3 linked regions of the Arabidopsis thaliana genome follow. The protein of the gene in region 2 interacts with the protein of the main gene of each other region in a biochemical or structural test. Each region holds a gene or a part of one and is shown on either strand. Other genes may lie near its edges.

Region 1 (7,985 bases), about 25 Mb from region 2:
GGTTCATTGAACATATACATCAACATAGGACTGAGAGGAGCCCATGTTCCTTTCATTGATGCAAAATTTTAGTTTCTTGTGTTTTAATTTGCTTCCTATCCAATGTACATGTATATATACTTTCACAAGAGAATATGGATAATGTTGAGTATGTTAAATATATAGTGACAAGTTACATAAAAAAAGCCTAAAGAAATCAAATTGGAAAAAATAGTAAGGTACAATGTATGGTTATCGAAAGCCCAAGCTGTACTTCCATTGATGTAGGAGATGATTAGGAACACGTGGATTATATTTGACCAAAAATAGTAGAAATTCTATTTATATTTGTTTTCTTCTTTTGGTTTTGGGTTTGATTTTGTGATTTGGATAGTTCGGTTAAGGATGGTTTGATCAATCAATATAACCATACTAAAATATGATTCAGTTAACTAACTATAGTAACTGTTTCTTCGTTAGTAAAATGATACATTTATTGGAATCTATTGACAAATCTTAATGACTTATTATAACTGGTGATAACAAAATCTAGCTATTATTTTGTATCCAACTACATATTTTGTATAAAATGGAAATTCGTATATGATATTTGTTTAGTTTAAAAGTAGAGTGTATTTGTTTTTTCAATGATGATTTAATGAAATCAAGCTCTTAGTTGAGATCAAAAGACAAATAAAACAAAATGTTTTTTTTTGTTTTGTTTCTTTTCTATTTGAGGGAAGGCCATGAATTCTTATTTTTGACAAATAGTTGTTCTATGCAATTAATATTGATGTCTAATACATATACAGCAGAATAAATAAAAACTTGCTATATAAAGACGTATTATTTATAGCATTCTGTGGAGTATAATGTCGAATCCTGTTCTCATTTCCGATTTTACATATTTATGGTACTAACGCCTTCATTTATTTTTCCATTTTCGTTAGTCAACAACTTCAGCTTTTGATAACGCCTAATTGTATCATCAACTTTAGTTAGTTTTCTCAAATAACGTCATTTTCAAATAAAGTTTTTGATTTCTCTTTTATTATATTTATGCAAAAGGAAAATTATAATTTCAGTATTTTGCAGAACGCTGAAATGTATAATAGAACCTATTCATGTATTTTTGTAAAATTTTAAAGATTGTTTTAATACTAAAATAAGTAAATCATTAAAAAAATTCCTAGACATTGGTCTCTAATATAAGATAAATAGATCTAAATTATGTTTGGATTTTAATTCTAATAAAAAGGTAGCCAAAAGTTATATATACAATATTTAAACAATTTTATTTGTTTAAGATTTGAATTTTATAGTATGCGAGAATCGCGTAAACTTTTCTCGAATGTAACAAAAAATTTCAAATCTTCTCGACACATGTAATCTTTTGCGAGTTAGAAGATTTGATTCCTTATTTTTTGTTCGTATTCTTAAAGTTAGTCACGTTTATATTATTTTTCGCTTTGTAACCGTCCCTTTAAATTTTTAATAAAAATTAAAAAAATTGCTAGAAAACAACATTTTTGTATTACTCAAATCAAAAGTACAAAAATAAATTTAGCTAGCGTTTCACAAAATCAAGTAAAATAATCTCCATTTGAAACTCCATAATCAAGCTGTTTGATGTATTATTATTACATGTAATGAGGAGAAAGAGGGGTCGAGAAATTTAAAGTAATAATAATTCTCTTCTTCGTCCATGGAATAAACTACGATTAGTTTAAAAAGATTAATAAAGATGGATTAAAGAAACTATATGTTAAACCTGGAAAATTTATTTAAAAAGACGTTTTTTTAGCTATAAGAAAAAAAAGAATAATACCTTTATTTTTACATGTTATTTACAAGTAATAATTTTTTTTTTCTCTCTCTCTCTTTGAAGGTGGCACGAGCACCCATAACCTTCAGACCTATAGATACAAATATGTATGTATACGTTTTTTATATATAAATATTTTATATAATTGATTTTTCGATCTTCTTTTATCTCTCTCTTTCGATGGAACTGAGCTCTTTCTCTCTTTCCTCTTCTTTTCTCTCTCTATCTCTATCTCTCGTAGCTTGATAAGAGTTTCTCTCTTTTGAAGATCCGTTTCTCTCTCTCTCACTGAGACTATTGTTGTTAGGTCAACTTGCGATCATGGCGATTTCGAAGGTGACTTCTTTCAAAAACCCTAATCCTCTGTTTTTTTTTTTATTTTGCTGGGGGGCTTTGTACGGACTTTCATGGGTTTTTGTAGCTTTTCCCTCGGCTTTTGCGCAAATGAGACTTTCTGGGTTTTTTTTCCAGCTTTTTATAATTTCATCAGGTGGATCGAATTCGTAGTTTCAGCTTAGATCTCTCTCCCTCTTCATTATCTGGACTTTCCAGACTTGGAGTTCTTCGGGATTGTTTTCGGTTTCTGGGTTTTGTTTTAATTGCGAGATTTAAGCTTTTTTCTTTTTTACTACTGTACTTGGTTTGTGGTTGACCTTTTTTTTCCTTGAAGATCTGAATGCGTAGATCATACGGGATCTTTGCATTTTTGTTGCTTTTCGTCAGCGTTACGATTCTTTTAGCTTCAGTTTAGTTGAAATTTGTATTTTTTTTGAGCTTATCTTCTTTTTGTTGCTGCTTCATACTAAGATCAATTATTGATTTGTAATACTACTGTATCTGAAGATTTTCACCATAAAAAAAAAATTCAGGTCTGAAGCTGATTTCGAATGGTTTGGAGATATCCGTAGTGGTTAAGCATATGGAAGTCTATGTTCTGCTCTTGGTTGCTCTGTTAGGGCTTCCTCCATTTGGACCAACTTAGCTGAATGTTGTATGATCTCTCTCCTTGAAGCAGCAAATAAGAAGAAGGTCTGGTCCTTAACTTAACATCTGGTTACTAGAGGAAACTTCAGCTATTATTAGGTAAAGAAAGACTGTACAGAGTTGTATAACAAGTAAGCGTTAGAGTGGCTTTGTTTGCCTCGGTGATAGAAGAACCGACTGATTCGTTGTTGTGTGTTAGCTTTGGAGGGAATCAGATTTCGCGAGGGAAGGTGTTTTAGATCAAATCTGTGAATTTTACTCAACTGAGGCTTTTAGTGAACCACGACTGTAGAGTTGACCTTGAATCCTACTCTGAGTAATTATATTATCAGATAGATTTAGGATGGAAGCTGAAATTGTGAATGTGAGACCTCAGCTAGGGTTTATCCAGAGAATGGTTCCTGCTCTACTTCCTGTCCTTTTGGTTTCTGTCGGATATATTGATCCCGGGAAATGGGTTGCAAATATCGAAGGAGGTGCTCGTTTCGGGTATGACTTGGTGGCAATTACTCTGCTTTTCAATTTTGCCGCCATCTTATGCCAATATGTTGCAGCTCGCATAAGCGTTGTGACTGGTAAACACTTGGCTCAGGTAAACATTTTTCTGATCTCTAAAGAACAAACTTTTTAAAATAACAAACTGGGCTCTGTGGTTGTCTTGTCACTTTCTCAAAGTGGAATTCTACTAACCACCTTCTCTATTTTTCTAACATTTTAATGTTCTTTACTGGGACAGATCTGCAATGAAGAATATGACAAGTGGACGTGCATGTTCTTGGGCATTCAGGCGGAGTTCTCAGCAATTCTGCTCGACCTTACCATGGTAGTTACTTACAATCTTTGCTGTTCTTAATTTTTTTATTATGTGATAAAATTTTGATTCCTCTGACTTGAGCTTCTCTATTATAAACAGGTTGTGGGAGTTGCGCATGCACTTAACCTTTTGTTTGGGGTGGAGTTATCCACTGGAGTGTTTTTGGCCGCCATGGATGCGTTTTTATTTCCTGTTTTCGCCTCTTTCCTTGTATGACTGGTCTTCCTGTCTTGTTTTTTTTCTCCACGTTCTTGAAATAGCATTATTGGAAATTAGCTGACATGCATACAATTTCTGACAGGAAAATGGTATGGCAAATACAGTATCCATTTACTCTGCAGGCCTGGTATTACTTCTCTATGTATCTGGCGTCTTGCTGAGTCAGTCTGAGATCCCACTCTCTATGAATGGAGTGTTAACTCGGTTAAATGGAGAGAGCGCATTCGCACTGATGGGTCTTCTTGGCGCAAGCATCGTCCCTCACAATTTTTATATCCATTCTTATTTTGCTGGGGTACCTTTTTTCTCTTTATATGTATCTCTCTTTTCTGTTAAGAAGCAATAATTATACTAAGCAGTGAACGCTCTATTACAGGAAAGTACATCTTCGTCTGATGTCGACAAGAGCAGCTTGTGTCAAGACCATTTGTTCGCCATCTTTGGTGTCTTCAGCGGACTGTCACTTGTAAATTATGTATTGATGAATGCAGCAGCTAATGTGTTTCACAGTACTGGCCTTGTGGTACTGACTTTTCACGATGCCTTGTCACTAATGGAGCAGGTTTGTTCTGACGGTTTTATGTTCGTATTAGTCTATAATTCATTTTTAGGGAAAATGTTCAGAAATCTCTCGTGATTATTAATTATCTTGTTCTTGATTGTTGATCACAGGTATTTATGAGTCCGCTCATTCCAGTGGTCTTTTTGATGCTCTTGTTCTTCTCTAGTCAAATTACCGCACTAGCTTGGGCTTTCGGTGGAGAGGTCGTCCTGCATGACTTCCTGAAGATAGAAATACCCGCTTGGCTTCATCGTGCTACAATCAGAATTCTTGCAGTTGCTCCTGCGCTTTATTGTGTATGGACATCTGGTGCAGACGGAATATACCAGTTACTTATATTCACCCAGGTCTTGGTGGCAATGATGCTTCCTTGCTCGGTAATACCGCTTTTCCGCATTGCTTCGTCGAGACAAATCATGGGTGTCCATAAAATCCCTCAGGTTGGCGAGTTCCTCGCACTTACAACGTTTTTGGGATTTCTGGGGTTGAATGTTGTTTTTGTTGTTGAGATGGTATTTGGGAGCAGTGACTGGGCTGGTGGTTTGAGATGGAATACCGTGATGGGCACCTCGATTCAGTACACCACTCTGCTTGTATCGTCATGTGCATCCTTATGCCTGATACTCTGGCTGGCAGCCACGCCGCTGAAATCTGCGAGTAACAGAGCGGAAGCTCAAATATGGAACATGGATGCTCAAAATGCTTTATCTTATCCATCTGTTCAAGAAGAGGAAATTGAAAGAACAGAAACAAGGAGGAACGAAGACGAATCAATAGTGCGGTTGGAAAGCAGGGTAAAGGATCAGTTGGATACTACGTCTGTTACTAGCTCGGTCTATGATTTGCCAGAGAACATTCTAATGACGGATCAAGAAATCCGTTCGAGCCCTCCAGAGGAAAGAGAGTTGGATGTAAAGTACTCTACCTCTCAAGTTAGTAGTCTTAAGGAAGACTCTGATGTAAAGGAACAGTCTGTATTGCAGTCAACAGTGGTTAATGAGGTCAGTGATAAGGATCTGATTGTTGAAACAAAGATGGCGAAAATTGAACCAATGAGTCCTGTGGAGAAGATTGTTAGCATGGAGAATAACAGCAAGTTTATTGAAAAGGATGTTGAAGGGGTTTCATGGGAAACAGAAGAAGCTACCAAAGCTGCTCCTACAAGCAACTTTACTGTCGGATCTGATGGTCCTCCTTCATTCCGCAGCTTAAGTGGGGAAGGGGGAAGTGGGACTGGAAGCCTTTCACGGTTGCAAGGTTTGGGACGTGCTGCCCGGAGACACTTATCTGCGATCCTTGATGAATTTTGGGGACATTTATATGATTTTCATGGGCAATTGGTTGCTGAAGCCAGGGCAAAGAAACTAGATCAGCTGTTTGGCACTGATCAAAAGTCAGCCTCTTCTATGAAAGCAGATTCGTTTGGAAAAGACATTAGCAGTGGATATTGCATGTCACCAACTGCGAAGGGAATGGATTCACAGATGACTTCAAGTTTATATGATTCACTGAAGCAGCAGAGGACACCGGGAAGTATCGATTCGTTGTATGGATTACAAAGAGGTTCGTCACCGTCACCGTTGGTCAACCGTATGCAGATGTTGGGTGCATATGGTAACACCACTAATAATAATAATGCTTACGAATTGAGTGAGAGAAGATACTCTAGCCTGCGTGCTCCATCATCTTCAGAGGGTTGGGAACACCAACAACCAGCTACAGTTCACGGATACCAGATGAAGTCATATGTAGACAATTTGGCAAAAGAAAGGCTTGAAGCCTTACAATCCCGTGGAGAGATCCCGACATCGAGATCTATGGCGCTTGGTACATTGAGCTATACACAGCAACTTGCTTTAGCCTTGAAACAGAAGTCCCAGAATGGTCTAACCCCTGGACCAGCTCCTGGGTTTGAGAATTTTGCTGGGTCTAGAAGCATATCGCGACAATCTGAAAGATCTTATTACGGTGTTCCATCTTCTGGCAATACTGATACTGTTGGCGCAGCAGTAGCCAATGAGAAAAAATATAGTAGCATGCCAGATATCTCAGGATTGTCTATGTCCGCAAGGAACATGCATTTACCAAACAACAAGAGTGGATACTGGGATCCGTCAAGTGGAGGAGGAGGGTATGGTGCGTCTTATGGTCGGTTAAGCAATGAATCATCGTTATATTCTAATTTGGGGTCACGGGTGGGAGTACCCTCGACTTATGATGACATTTCTCAATCAAGAGGAGGCTACAGAGATGCCTACAGTTTGCCACAGAGTGCAACAACAGGGACCGGATCGCTTTGGTCCAGACAGCCCTTTGAGCAGTTTGGTGTAGCGGAGAGGAATGGTGCTGTTGGTGAGGAGCTCAGGAATAGATCGAATCCGATCAATATAGACAACAACGCTTCTTCTAATGTTGATGCAGAGGCTAAGCTTCTTCAGTCGTTCAGGCACTGTATTCTAAAGCTTATTAAACTTGAAGGATCCGAGTGGTTGTTTGGACAAAGCGATGGAGTTGATGAAGAACTGATTGACCGGGTAGCTGCACGAGAGAAGTTTATCTATGAAGCTGAAGCTCGAGAAATAAACCAGGTGGGTCACATGGGGGAGCCACTAATTTCATCGGTTCCTAACTGTGGAGATGGTTGCGTTTGGAGAGCTGATTTGATTGTGAGCTTTGGAGTTTGGTGCATTCACCGTGTCCTTGACTTGTCTCTCATGGAGAGTCGGCCTGAGCTTTGGGGAAAGTACACTTACGTTCTCAACCGCCTACAGGTAACAAAAACCGCAGTAGTTCATTGAAAATCACAGTTTTGCAGTTTGAAAATATTGACATGTATGGATTTAAACAGGGAGTGATTGATCCGGCGTTCTCAAAGCTGCGGACACCAATGACACCGTGCTTTTGCCTTCAGATTCCAGCGAGCCACCAGAGAGCGAGTCCGACTTCAGCTAACGGAATGTTACCTCCGGCTGCAAAACCGGCTAAAGGCAAATGCACAACCGCAGTCACACTTCTTGATCTAATCAAAGACGTTGAAATGGCAATCTCTTGTAGAAAAGGCCGAACCGGTACAGCTGCAGGTGATGTGGCTTTCCCAAAGGGGAAAGAGAATTTGGCTTCGGTTTTGAAGCGGTATAAACGTCGGTTATCGAATAAACCAGTAGGTATGAATCAGGATGGACCCGGTTCAAGAAAAAACGTGACTGCGTACGGATCATTGGGTTGAAGAAGAAGAACATTGTGAGAAATCTCATGATCAAAGTGACGTCGAGAGGGAAGCCGAAGAATCAAAACTCTCGCTTTTGATTGCTCCTCTGCTTCGTTAATTGTGTATTAAGAAAAGAAGAAAAAAAATGGATTTTTGTTGCTTCAGAATTTTTCGCTCTTTTTTTCTTAATTTGGTTGTAATGTTATGTTTATATACATATATCATCATCATAGGACCATAGCTACAAACCGAATCCGGTTTGTGTAATTCTATGCGGAATCATAAAGAAATCGTCGGTTTGAAATGTTAAATCTCCTAAACCGGATCTCTGCACGTAGCTGACACATCGACGCTAGATTACTGACACGTGTCCTTATCAATATTTCTTCTCGAA
Region 2 (5,410 bases):
TCCGAACAGAGGAAAAAAAAATCTCAGCAAAAGAAAGTTAGTCGAAAGCAACAGAAAGAAATAGGTTAATTAGCTGAAACACACACAACTACGTATGTAGAAGTACCTAGTGATGGGAGGAGGAGTAGGGATTGGAATGGATGAGTCAAGATCATCAGTCTCAGGAGGATTGAAATTAAGGTCAGCTAAAACTACAAGCTTTAGAGGTCGAGAAGGAGAGTCAACGGTCATGGGTTCGCATTTGACGGCGATCGTCTCCGGGCGGTCCATTGATGGTGCTGAGTACGCCGGACAGTAAAGTTGAGCAGAAGAAGAAAGAATCAAAACAAATATAAAAACGAGGATAAAGCTGTTTGGCAACGAGTATTGGTCTATCCTTTTGTTTGCTCTATCCCGGAACCGGAGTCATAATTATCTCACCGACCGAACAAATATATTTTTATTTATCTTTTTATAATTTAATTACCATATTTTCTATATTTATAAATAATTTTCATAAAATATCACAAGAGTAATAAGTTAACACAAATTAACCATGCTAATAACTTATTTTCAATGTAACAAAAATCCATCAGAAATTAGAACACACTAAAAGATATCAGTACAAAGACAAAACACAACAACCAGACAGAAACACATGAACATATAAACATCTCATGTTTATCTACTAACTGAATCCATACATATATGTAGATAGTGAGGAAAGTATCGTAAGCACAAACACAAGAAACTGATAAGAGAACCACTAATCACTGAGTTGCAGAAATCCCAAACTCGGGAAGGATCCAACCATTGTCCATGGCATGACTAGCATACAGCTCAAACTTCTCTTTCGCGTTCGGTATATCAAGCGACAAGTCATCGAGGCTGTCGTTAACACGACCAAACCCTTTCGTCATTTGGTTAGTTGTAATCAATCCTTCACCAAAACACTCCTCAAGCAGATTCAGTAACCGATCATTCTGCTTCTCCATTGCCATCACCAAAGCTTTCTTCACTACTTCGTGGTTGAAAAAAGGCATCCCTAGATCGCGGATACATTGACAAGCTTCTGATGTTACTCCTCCTGTTTCGTATTCTTCTAGGAGTTTCGAGATTTTGTCCTTTGCATCTTCCACTATCCAGCCGGTTCCACCTCCCCAGCTTCTTAGGAGTCTCTCTCCTGCGTGTCTGGCGGAGATAAGAGACCTGGCTGAGCGGACTGTTTCGGTTCCGGTTGATTTTGGAGGCAGCTTGGTTGAGATATCTTCAAGGTTAAGTGGAGCTAAGACGTCGTCAATCACAGCTCTAGCTAAAAACAGAGCAAGTTCGTTTGATGCGTCCATGATATCTAAAGCTGTGTCTTCTGCCGATTCCAGGAGCATAATGAAACCGTTTATGAAATCTTCAGTTGAGAATAGCTCCATGTGAAGAGCAGAAAGAAGAACCGAAGCCATTTCCTTTTCTCTGTTTTTCCTGTCTAGAGCAAGAGTTATGAGCCTCTTCAGAAACACCGGGTTATATTCAGGTGCCCCTAAATCTTGAAGACTGCGGATTAGCTCAGGAATGTCATCTGATAAGAAATATTCCTGAATTATGTTCACTGTATCCTTCTTGTACTGTCTTAGCTTTCCGTCTTGACTCGATTTTTCTCCATCTTGATCAGAGGTTATCTTAAATGAATCATCGAGCCAGCCTCCAGAAATAGCCTTTGGAACTATCGAATCAAACAGCTTTTTGGCAGATGGGATATCTAGAGCAAGGTCATCGAGACTCTCTGCTACTCGGAAGAATCCCTTCACCATTTGACTCGAACTGATCAGTCCTTCTTCAGCAGTTTCCTTCAACAGCTTTAGTACAAGTGACTCAGCGGTTGGAGAATCCATCGCCAGAACCAAAGCCCTCTTCACAACCTCATGATGGAAAAACGAGACACCTAATTCCCTGATGCATCTACAAGCTTCGTAAGTGTCTCCGTTTTCCACGTATTCCTTCAAGATTTCAGATATCTTTTTCTTCGTTTCTTCTACTGTAGTGTGAGTACTACCTCCCCATTTCTTCTCCACTAGTTCTGCATGGTGAGGAGCTGAGAGATAGCTCTTTTCTGCAGTTACAATAACCTGAAACCCTTTGCAAGATTCTGGAAGAATCTTCTTAGATCTAACCAGAAAAACCGGAGGGAGAATTTCGTCAACGATGGCCCGTGCAATAAACAATGCAAGGACATTAACAGCATCAAGGATGTCCACCGCAAGGTCATCAACAGATCTGAGAAGTCTTATAAATCCATCCCTAATTTGATCAGGTAAAATAACATCAGCATACAATGCAGAGAGTAGCACTGAAGCCATTTCCTTCTCCTTATCGTGTCTGTCCATGGCCATAGAAACAAGTCGCTTGGTGAAGTAAGGATGATATTCGCTTGAACCAAGTTCCCTGAGGTCAGATGCCGCCACTTTCACATCCCCGGTGCTAAAGTATTCGTCAATGATGGAAACTACTGACTTTTTGTAATCATTCAACGGGTCTGATACCGGTGAATCAACAAGTCCATCATATGCGTCCTGTTAAATTGAGTATATGAATGAAAAAAGCAAACTACTAATAAAAGATAAAATCAAGGGATGTTAGATACACTAAAGAAACAAGGAAAAGTATCCAACACAAAACAAAAGGCGCAAATATGAAAGTACCTCTCCACTATCGTAATTGGGATCATTCTTATCAATACAGGAGTCACCATCATCAGTGTCAAGAAGCTTTCCCCAAGTTCCTTTGCCACCAGCACCCTCTGCAGATATCATTGCCACATAAGTAAACCATATATCACCTACACACTTGAACTCTTCTACTGAAAACTTAAGTCTTTTCACTAAAGCAAATTTGAAAGGAACTAATAAAGAGTCATATCACTCCCTAAAAGGATCTATTAGCCAAATAACAAGCACAAAAGGTTGAAGAAAGTTTAATACCCTTCTTAACACGAATATGCTTCCCTGAGTGAGTACGTCGCACATGCCTATTAGGAATCCCAGCAACTGGTCCTTTGCCACCAGTGGGAGACTTAATGTTCAGATCAGCAAAGAGAGTATGAGATTTAGGCGATGATGACAAACTTCCAGAATTATGAGTTGCTATTTCAAGCTTTTTCCACTGTCCATCCGTCAAAATTCCCTCACCCGATGCCATCTACAACATTAAAACGACCATTAACTCATAAATCAAATACAGAAATAACCTCATAATCACTCGAACCAACCAAAAAAACTCTTCCTTTTTCCCCAAACTCCTAATAACGATCAGTAAGAACATGAGAAATTTGTATCCCAACGAAATTTCTTCCCATTCAATGATAAAACAAAGAACATGAAACCCATAAACACTGTGAATCATAAGAACACACACACAGTGATATTTTCCACGATTTCTAAACGAGAGACCTTAAAACACTCCAAAAATTCGATTAAGTAAACAAAACATCACAAAGAAGTATGTATACAACTATACAAAACAAAATCTAACCTGTCATACCTGTGATCGCAGGAATCAAATTCCAAATCGTGAAACAAAGTCGTCTTCTTTACTGCTTGGCTCGGATCTCGAGCCAAGACAGAAAAGATAAGGAATCGGATCTCCAGCACCGGAGAAAAACGACCGGAGAGTATCAAAGTAGATAACGATCAATTTATCACTACAAGAGAGTCGCAAAGATTCAAAAGTCACCGATTCCCAGACAACGACGAGAGAGGAAATGGATGAGGATCGCCAATAAAAGTACTACTTTACAACAATATAATAAAGTTTTGTGCATTTGTTTATATACGATGGTACACGTCATCAACGTAATACGTGGAGGGCTTAGAATATTTCCTTCTTTTTTTAATTTAGCCTCCAATTTTTTTAAAGATTTTAATCCAAAACAATGGGCTGTATTGGGTAGGTTCGGCCCATTGAATTAGATATTTTGGGCTGGACAATATCCAATGGTTGACTACGTTAATAAAAGTTTTATGCTTCATGGAATCATATTATTAGATCATGGCCATCATGTTTATAGTTTTAAAACAGATATGGATATTGTATTTTATATTTTTCAAATTATTATGACTAAATTATATCAATATTCATTTTAAATTGTTATTTTAGTGAACGTACTATGTGTATAAAAAAAACAAAAAAATTATAACACTGATAAATGAGTAGAGAAGAAGTTAGCAAGTAGTTTTCAAGCAAAAACCGGTCACATGCCCTTTTGTCTCTATTTTCTGATCCGACGGTTTTCTTTATATCTACCACCTTAAATCCAATCTAACGACTCTATTTCTTTATAGAAAGGTCAATTCTCTACATTTTTTCTTGTTTTTTTTTCACAAGACAATGTCATGAAACTTGAATTGATTTCGTATAGAAGACAAAAAAAACTTGTAAAGTTGAGCATTTGTTCAAAACATTAATTTGTTAAGTTTGCTTATCCAAATGATCAAGTTTCAGTTTGATAAGCCAATGTAGTCAATAATTAAAATGGTTGAATTAGATATTATCATACTCTATATTTAGTTACTTATTCAAATGCGTTCAATTATTTTTGTATTCTATGAATCATGTAAAAAGTAGTGAAAAATGTATATAGATTAGCTTTTGAGCGTTGAGAATATTCTGAAAAAGGAACATTAATGTCGATCGGTTCTCGTGTTTCATCACGTACGAGAACGAAATCATTTACTAATCGAATGAATGTCCAAAACTGTCTAAAATGTAGTGAGAAATGTCATTTAATTGTTTTCTGCAGTTTATGTACCAGAATACACAATTTGCTTAATGTATAAAATAATTTGCTACTAACAGTAATTTAAAAAAAAAAAACTAGACTTAAACTCATGATCCATATTTTTGCCCGAAGTGAAAATTCATCAACATGAATGGCTCTAGCAAAAAGAAAAATGTCGGCGAGACTTGTAATCGAATAGTTGATTAAGTTTTTAAAGACATTGTTCTTTTTAAAGTGTGGAGGAGGAGGAGGATATAGAGTGATGATGCAAATACTTCCCATGTGCATTGATTGTCAACACATTTTGTACCAGCCAAAATTTCAACATAGGGTCTGATTGTTAGATATGAATGAATACACTACTATTCTAAAAACGTTATATGAATTTAAGAAAATTATATGTGTAGAATTTATTGAAAGATTGGACTCGAGCACATGGTTCGGTGGTCCCAAAATCAAACCTCTATGGGCCAGTGTCGGCTCAGTTCTCCTATTCTATTGCTTTTGGTGGGTCTATTCTTTTCTCTTTTCCTGCAAGCAATATCTCTTTGAGACACCAAAAGAAATTCATTTTGTATAAAGATAATAATAATAACAAACACTCTAAAACCAACTTATCAAACAATTCAAAGTGTATCAAATATCGTATTCTTACAATTACAA
Region 3 (5,868 bases), on a different chromosome or scaffold from region 2:
TCGGTCCTTTATTTATTAAACAGAATCAATAAAATATACTCTATAGTCTTCAACAGTATGATATATTACAAATTTATAACACACAAAATCACACTATAGGTGATAAGATTTGCACTATTAATTGCAATGGAAAAATGTTCTAAGAATAATTATTTCTTACTAGAAACTATTGATCTTAAAGAAATAGTCTCTTGTGCAATTGAATGGTAGCTAGGGTATAACCAATTGAAACATTTTAAAATATGACTTGTGTATATTTTTTTCTTTAATATGTGTATATGATTATTTATCAATGAACATTTCAAAATAGCATTTTCTCGTTGGCTGAAATAATCAAGCTAATATTTTGCTTAAGTCATACAAATCTACTCATAAACTTGGTGGAAGAAGGCAGTGTAATGATGAAAAGGATGGAGTGTGTGACATGGAACATGATATAAAGGCTCATCTATGGCATATTATATGAAACTAAACTAATTAAAATCACATAAAAATGGAAAAAGAAGTGAGCAACATTATGGTTACACCTTAAAGTTTGTTATTGTAATTTGTAAAGTCACTTCTCTGTTCATTCCCCCACGCCTCTGCCTCGACAGTGAACATTGGATCAACCAAATTTTACAAAAGACCATTTCATATGCGATGCATATTATGACTAAATTGGGTCCCAATTATTTTGACCACACACCCCACCATATGAAATATTTGTATATCGGTTTGGAATAATTTCTCCCAAAATTCCTTTCAATATAATTGCCATTCTTTTGTAAAAGGTTTTGTTTTTTTTTTAAATAAAGTATTAATACAATACACAACAAAAACAAAACAAATTATCCCAAAATTCCAAACTTGATGTGATTATAGACTAGAATTTCTATTATGTTCGTTTTTATTAGTGTTGTCACTATATCACTAACTATATTCATATTCAGTTGCTTGTCAATTATTTTTTTTTGCCAGTCTTAGATTTATTATTTATTGCACTGTTACATAGACGATTCTACAACGGACAATTCCTTCCGACTCTTATTAGATCTAGTTGCTTGTCATCTAATATTTAAATTATTTTAAGAAATGTTATACAACTAATATTTAAATCATTTTAAGAAATGTTATACAACAATAGTATATAGCTAAATTTTTAAATGGAAGTTTATATAATACTACACTTTTTCTTCATTGAAATTTGTGAAACATCTCATAGATACAATTCCCATTTAGAAAATTAGCAGTGATCATAATTCTTTCTAAGGTTCAAAATCCCCACATGGAGCTTTAATGAATTAAAATTATGAAACCATTAGAAACAAATAGATATAGGACTAAATGAAACTGAAAACATATTTTTCTAAATATTAGAGTTTTATTCTATAAACTGAACTTAATTTTTTTGATTATCAAACAACATGTATTCTATTAGATTAATAATGTCACTTACACAAATCACTACAAGTCATGATCACAATTCCACAAAATCATAAGATTGATCATAACCATTTAATAAATCAATCATCTATTAGAAAAACATCATATGTAAAAAAAAACGATTCGACAAAGATGTTTTAAAAATAATAAGCATCAACAATTAATAAAACTTAATAAATTACCTAAAAGCAGCTTTTTCTTTTCTTCAAAAAAAGCCCTTTTTCTTCCTCTGCTTTAGCATCGTCTCTTTATCATCTAAATGTTTCAACTTACTTACTTCTCCTTCTCCATTCAAACTCAAAAAACCTCCCTCCAATGACTACTTCACCAATCCGGGTTCGGATCCGGACTCGGATCCAAATCTCCTTCATCTTCCTCCTTACCCATCTCTCACAATCTTCCTCCTCCGACCAATCTTCACTCAAAACCGACTCATTATCACTCCTCTCTTTCAAAACAATGATCCAAGATGATCCAAACAACATTCTCTCAAACTGGTCACCTCGTAAATCCCCTTGTCAATTCTCCGGCGTCACTTGTCTCGGAGGAAGAGTCACCGAGATTAATCTCTCCGGTAGTGGCCTCTCCGGAATCGTCTCCTTCAATGCTTTCACCTCTCTTGATTCTCTCTCTGTTCTCAAACTCTCAGAGAACTTCTTCGTCTTAAACTCAACCTCTCTTCTTCTTCTTCCTTTAACCCTAACTCATCTCGAACTCTCTTCCTCCGGTTTAATCGGAACCCTCCCTGAAAATTTCTTCTCCAAATACTCAAATCTTATTTCCATCACCCTCTCTTACAATAACTTCACCGGAAAGTTACCTAATGATCTTTTCTTAAGCAGCAAGAAACTCCAAACCCTTGATCTTTCTTACAACAACATTACCGGTCCAATCTCCGGTTTAACCATTCCTCTTTCTTCTTGCGTCTCCATGACCTATCTCGATTTCTCCGGTAACAGTATCTCCGGCTATATCTCTGACTCACTCATCAACTGCACCAACCTCAAAAGCTTGAATCTTTCTTACAACAACTTCGATGGGCAGATTCCAAAATCTTTCGGTGAGCTTAAACTCTTACAAAGTTTGGATCTTTCTCATAACCGACTCACCGGTTGGATCCCGCCGGAGATCGGAGATACTTGCCGGTCATTACAAAACCTCCGGCTTTCTTACAACAACTTCACTGGTGTGATCCCTGAGTCGTTGTCCTCATGTTCTTGGCTACAAAGTCTTGACCTTTCAAACAACAACATCTCCGGTCCGTTTCCGAACACTATCCTCCGGAGTTTTGGATCTCTTCAAATCTTACTTCTCAGCAACAACTTAATCTCCGGTGACTTTCCGACTTCAATCTCTGCTTGTAAGAGCTTGAGAATCGCTGACTTCAGCTCGAATCGATTCTCCGGTGTGATTCCACCGGATTTATGTCCCGGAGCAGCTTCATTAGAAGAGCTAAGACTCCCGGATAATCTCGTCACCGGAGAGATTCCACCGGCGATATCTCAATGCTCTGAGCTACGAACGATTGATCTCAGTCTCAATTATCTCAACGGTACAATCCCACCGGAGATCGGAAACCTCCAGAAACTCGAGCAATTCATAGCTTGGTACAACAACATCGCCGGAGAAATCCCACCGGAGATCGGAAAACTACAAAACCTAAAAGATTTGATCCTCAACAACAATCAACTCACCGGAGAAATCCCACCGGAATTTTTCAATTGCAGTAACATCGAATGGGTCTCATTCACAAGCAACAGATTAACCGGAGAAGTGCCTAAAGATTTCGGAATCCTTTCCCGGTTAGCCGTTCTTCAGCTCGGTAACAACAATTTCACCGGAGAAATCCCACCGGAGCTAGGAAAATGCACAACTCTGGTTTGGCTTGATCTTAACACAAACCACTTAACCGGTGAAATCCCTCCCCGGTTAGGTCGTCAACCCGGTTCAAAAGCACTTTCCGGTTTACTCTCAGGAAACACAATGGCTTTTGTTAGAAACGTTGGAAACTCATGTAAAGGTGTTGGAGGTTTGGTTGAGTTCTCAGGGATCAGACCAGAGAGGCTTCTTCAGATTCCATCTCTTAAAAGCTGTGACTTCACAAGAATGTATTCAGGTCCAATTTTGAGTCTATTCACAAGATATCAAACCATTGAGTATCTTGATCTTTCTTATAATCAGCTTAGAGGTAAAATCCCTGATGAGATTGGAGAAATGATTGCTCTTCAAGTTCTTGAGCTTTCTCATAATCAACTCTCCGGCGAGATTCCGTTTACGATTGGTCAGCTCAAGAATCTCGGTGTTTTCGATGCTTCGGATAATCGGTTGCAGGGTCAAATCCCTGAATCTTTCTCGAATTTGTCTTTCTTGGTGCAGATTGATTTGTCGAATAACGAGTTAACTGGTCCGATTCCTCAGAGAGGTCAGTTAAGCACGCTTCCGGCGACTCAGTACGCGAATAATCCGGGGCTTTGCGGTGTTCCTTTACCGGAATGTAAGAATGGAAACAATCAGCTTCCTGCTGGAACAGAGGAAGGGAAACGTGCTAAGCACGGAACTAGGGCAGCTTCTTGGGCGAATAGCATTGTTTTGGGAGTGTTGATTTCCGCTGCTTCGGTTTGTATTTTAATCGTTTGGGCGATTGCGGTTCGTGCGAGGAGGAGAGATGCGGATGATGCGAAGATGCTTCACAGTTTGCAGGCGGTTAATTCCGCCACTACATGGAAGATAGAGAAGGAGAAAGAGCCGTTGAGTATTAATGTAGCGACGTTTCAGCGACAGTTGAGAAAGCTTAAGTTTTCGCAGCTTATCGAGGCGACAAACGGATTCTCAGCCGCGAGTATGATCGGACACGGCGGATTCGGTGAGGTTTTTAAGGCGACGCTTAAAGACGGGTCTTCCGTGGCGATCAAGAAGCTCATTAGACTTAGTTGTCAAGGAGATCGAGAGTTCATGGCAGAAATGGAAACCTTAGGGAAGATCAAACACCGAAACCTCGTACCGCTCTTGGGATACTGTAAAATCGGGGAAGAGAGATTGCTTGTTTACGAGTTTATGCAATACGGAAGCCTCGAGGAGGTGCTTCACGGACCAAGAACAGGCGAAAAACGGAGGATTTTAGGTTGGGAAGAGAGGAAAAAGATTGCAAAAGGAGCAGCAAAAGGACTTTGTTTCTTGCATCACAATTGTATCCCTCACATAATCCACCGCGACATGAAATCGAGCAACGTGCTTCTCGATCAAGACATGGAAGCAAGAGTTTCAGATTTCGGAATGGCGAGACTGATCAGCGCATTAGACACACATTTGAGTGTAAGTACCTTGGCAGGCACGCCAGGTTACGTACCACCAGAGTATTACCAAAGTTTCAGATGTACCGCAAAAGGCGACGTGTACTCAATCGGAGTAGTGATGCTCGAGATCTTAAGCGGGAAAAGACCAACGGATAAAGAAGAGTTTGGTGATACGAATTTAGTAGGTTGGTCGAAGATGAAGGCAAGAGAAGGGAAACACATGGAAGTGATTGATGAAGACCTTCTAAAAGAAGGTTCTTCGGAGTCTCTGAATGAGAAAGAAGGTTTTGAAGGAGGAGTGATTGTGAAAGAAATGTTGAGGTATTTGGAGATAGCGTTACGGTGCGTTGACGATTTCCCATCAAAGAGACCTAATATGTTACAAGTTGTTGCTTCGTTGAGAGAACTTCGTGGAAGTGAAAATAATAGTCACAGTCACAGTAACAGCTTGTAACAACATGAAGATCTCTGTTTTTTTTTGTTTTTCTGGCTTTTTCAATGCATTTTTTTTTCCTGTGAGAATGTGTATGTGTGGTTGATCAATGATTAAAATTTCATGATGTATCAAGACTTAATTAATGTAATTTAAATTCTGATTCCTTTAATAAATAACTATGCAGATTATAACAAATCAGAGTCTTAGTTGGTGAATTGTTCTTTATTACCGAGTGTCGTTAGCTCAATTGGTAAAGACCGTAAACGAAGCTTAGAGAACGCCGATTTGAGTAACGCTTGAAACGAAACTAATATTACACGATGTGGTTTCGTGCATGAAAGGATTACCGACATTGGCCCAGAACTTCCTGGTATTAGAAAAAAAAAAAAAAAAAAATTGTTCTTTATTAAACGCTCGAATACACACGATTAGGCTTTGGATAGAGAACATACAAATGGGCTCAACAACTGAAGTTTCAAAATTATATTTGGGCCATAAAGAACTATTTAGAATATAGAAACATTAGGCCCATAATGACTCTTTCTCCTTCAGGCCTATGAACATCTAACACTATAAGACTATACATTCGTGAGTAGAATATTTTTTTTTGTGAGAATAGTATTTCAAACCACAAAAGAGAATATATTTCAATGTGTTACTTCATTAGTATGTGTGAATTTATACTTGTTGATGTGAATCAAGTAGGTGGTTGTC

What was found. The genes of interacting proteins can lie anywhere in the genome.
Region 1: the proteins of AT5G63190 (region 2) and EIN2 form a complex in vitro, tested with the Arabidopsis thaliana proteins (one study listed by BioGRID).
Region 3: the proteins of AT5G63190 (region 2) and BRL2 form a complex in vitro, tested with the Arabidopsis thaliana proteins (one study listed by BioGRID).

Annotation. Positions count from the first base shown.
Region 1 is NC_003076.8:785,458-793,442, forward strand, and holds EIN2 (NRAMP metal ion transporter family protein), read left to right. Parts: upstream 1-1,970; 5' UTR 1,971-2,140; intron 2,141-2,673; 5' UTR 2,674-3,131; coding exon 3,132-3,380; intron 3,381-3,524; coding exon 3,525-3,611; intron 3,612-3,701; coding exon 3,702-3,812; intron 3,813-3,903; coding exon 3,904-4,116; intron 4,117-4,197; coding exon 4,198-4,383; intron 4,384-4,493; coding exon 4,494-7,154; intron 7,155-7,231; coding exon 7,232-7,609; 3' UTR 7,610-7,947; downstream 7,948-7,985. UniProt on the Arabidopsis thaliana protein: Central factor in signaling pathways regulated by ethylene (ET) and involved in various processes including development, plant defense, senescence, nucleotide sugar flux, and tropisms.
Region 2 is NC_003076.8:25,343,903-25,349,312, reverse strand, and holds AT5G63190 (MA3 domain-containing protein), read right to left. Parts: upstream 3,772-5,410; 5' UTR 3,511-3,771; exon of another isoform or gene 3,502-3,510; intron 3,169-3,501; coding exon 2,952-3,168; intron 2,771-2,951; coding exon 2,673-2,770; intron 2,585-2,672; exon of another isoform or gene 2,544-2,584; coding exon 750-2,543; 3' UTR 513-749; downstream 1-512. Other genes in the region: AT5G63200 (tetratricopeptide repeat (TPR)-containing protein), read right to left, coding at 107-270. UniProt on the Arabidopsis thaliana protein: Involved in target of rapamycin (TOR)-regulated translation control, especially under energy-deficient conditions.
Region 3 is NC_003071.7:440,109-445,976, reverse strand, and holds BRL2 (BRI1-like 2), read left to right. Parts: upstream 1-1,652; 5' UTR 1,653-1,740; coding exon 1,741-5,172; 3' UTR 5,173-5,353; downstream 5,354-5,868. UniProt on the Arabidopsis thaliana protein: Receptor with a serine/threonine-protein kinase activity, which may transduce extracellular spatial and temporal signals into downstream cell differentiation responses in provascular and procambial cells.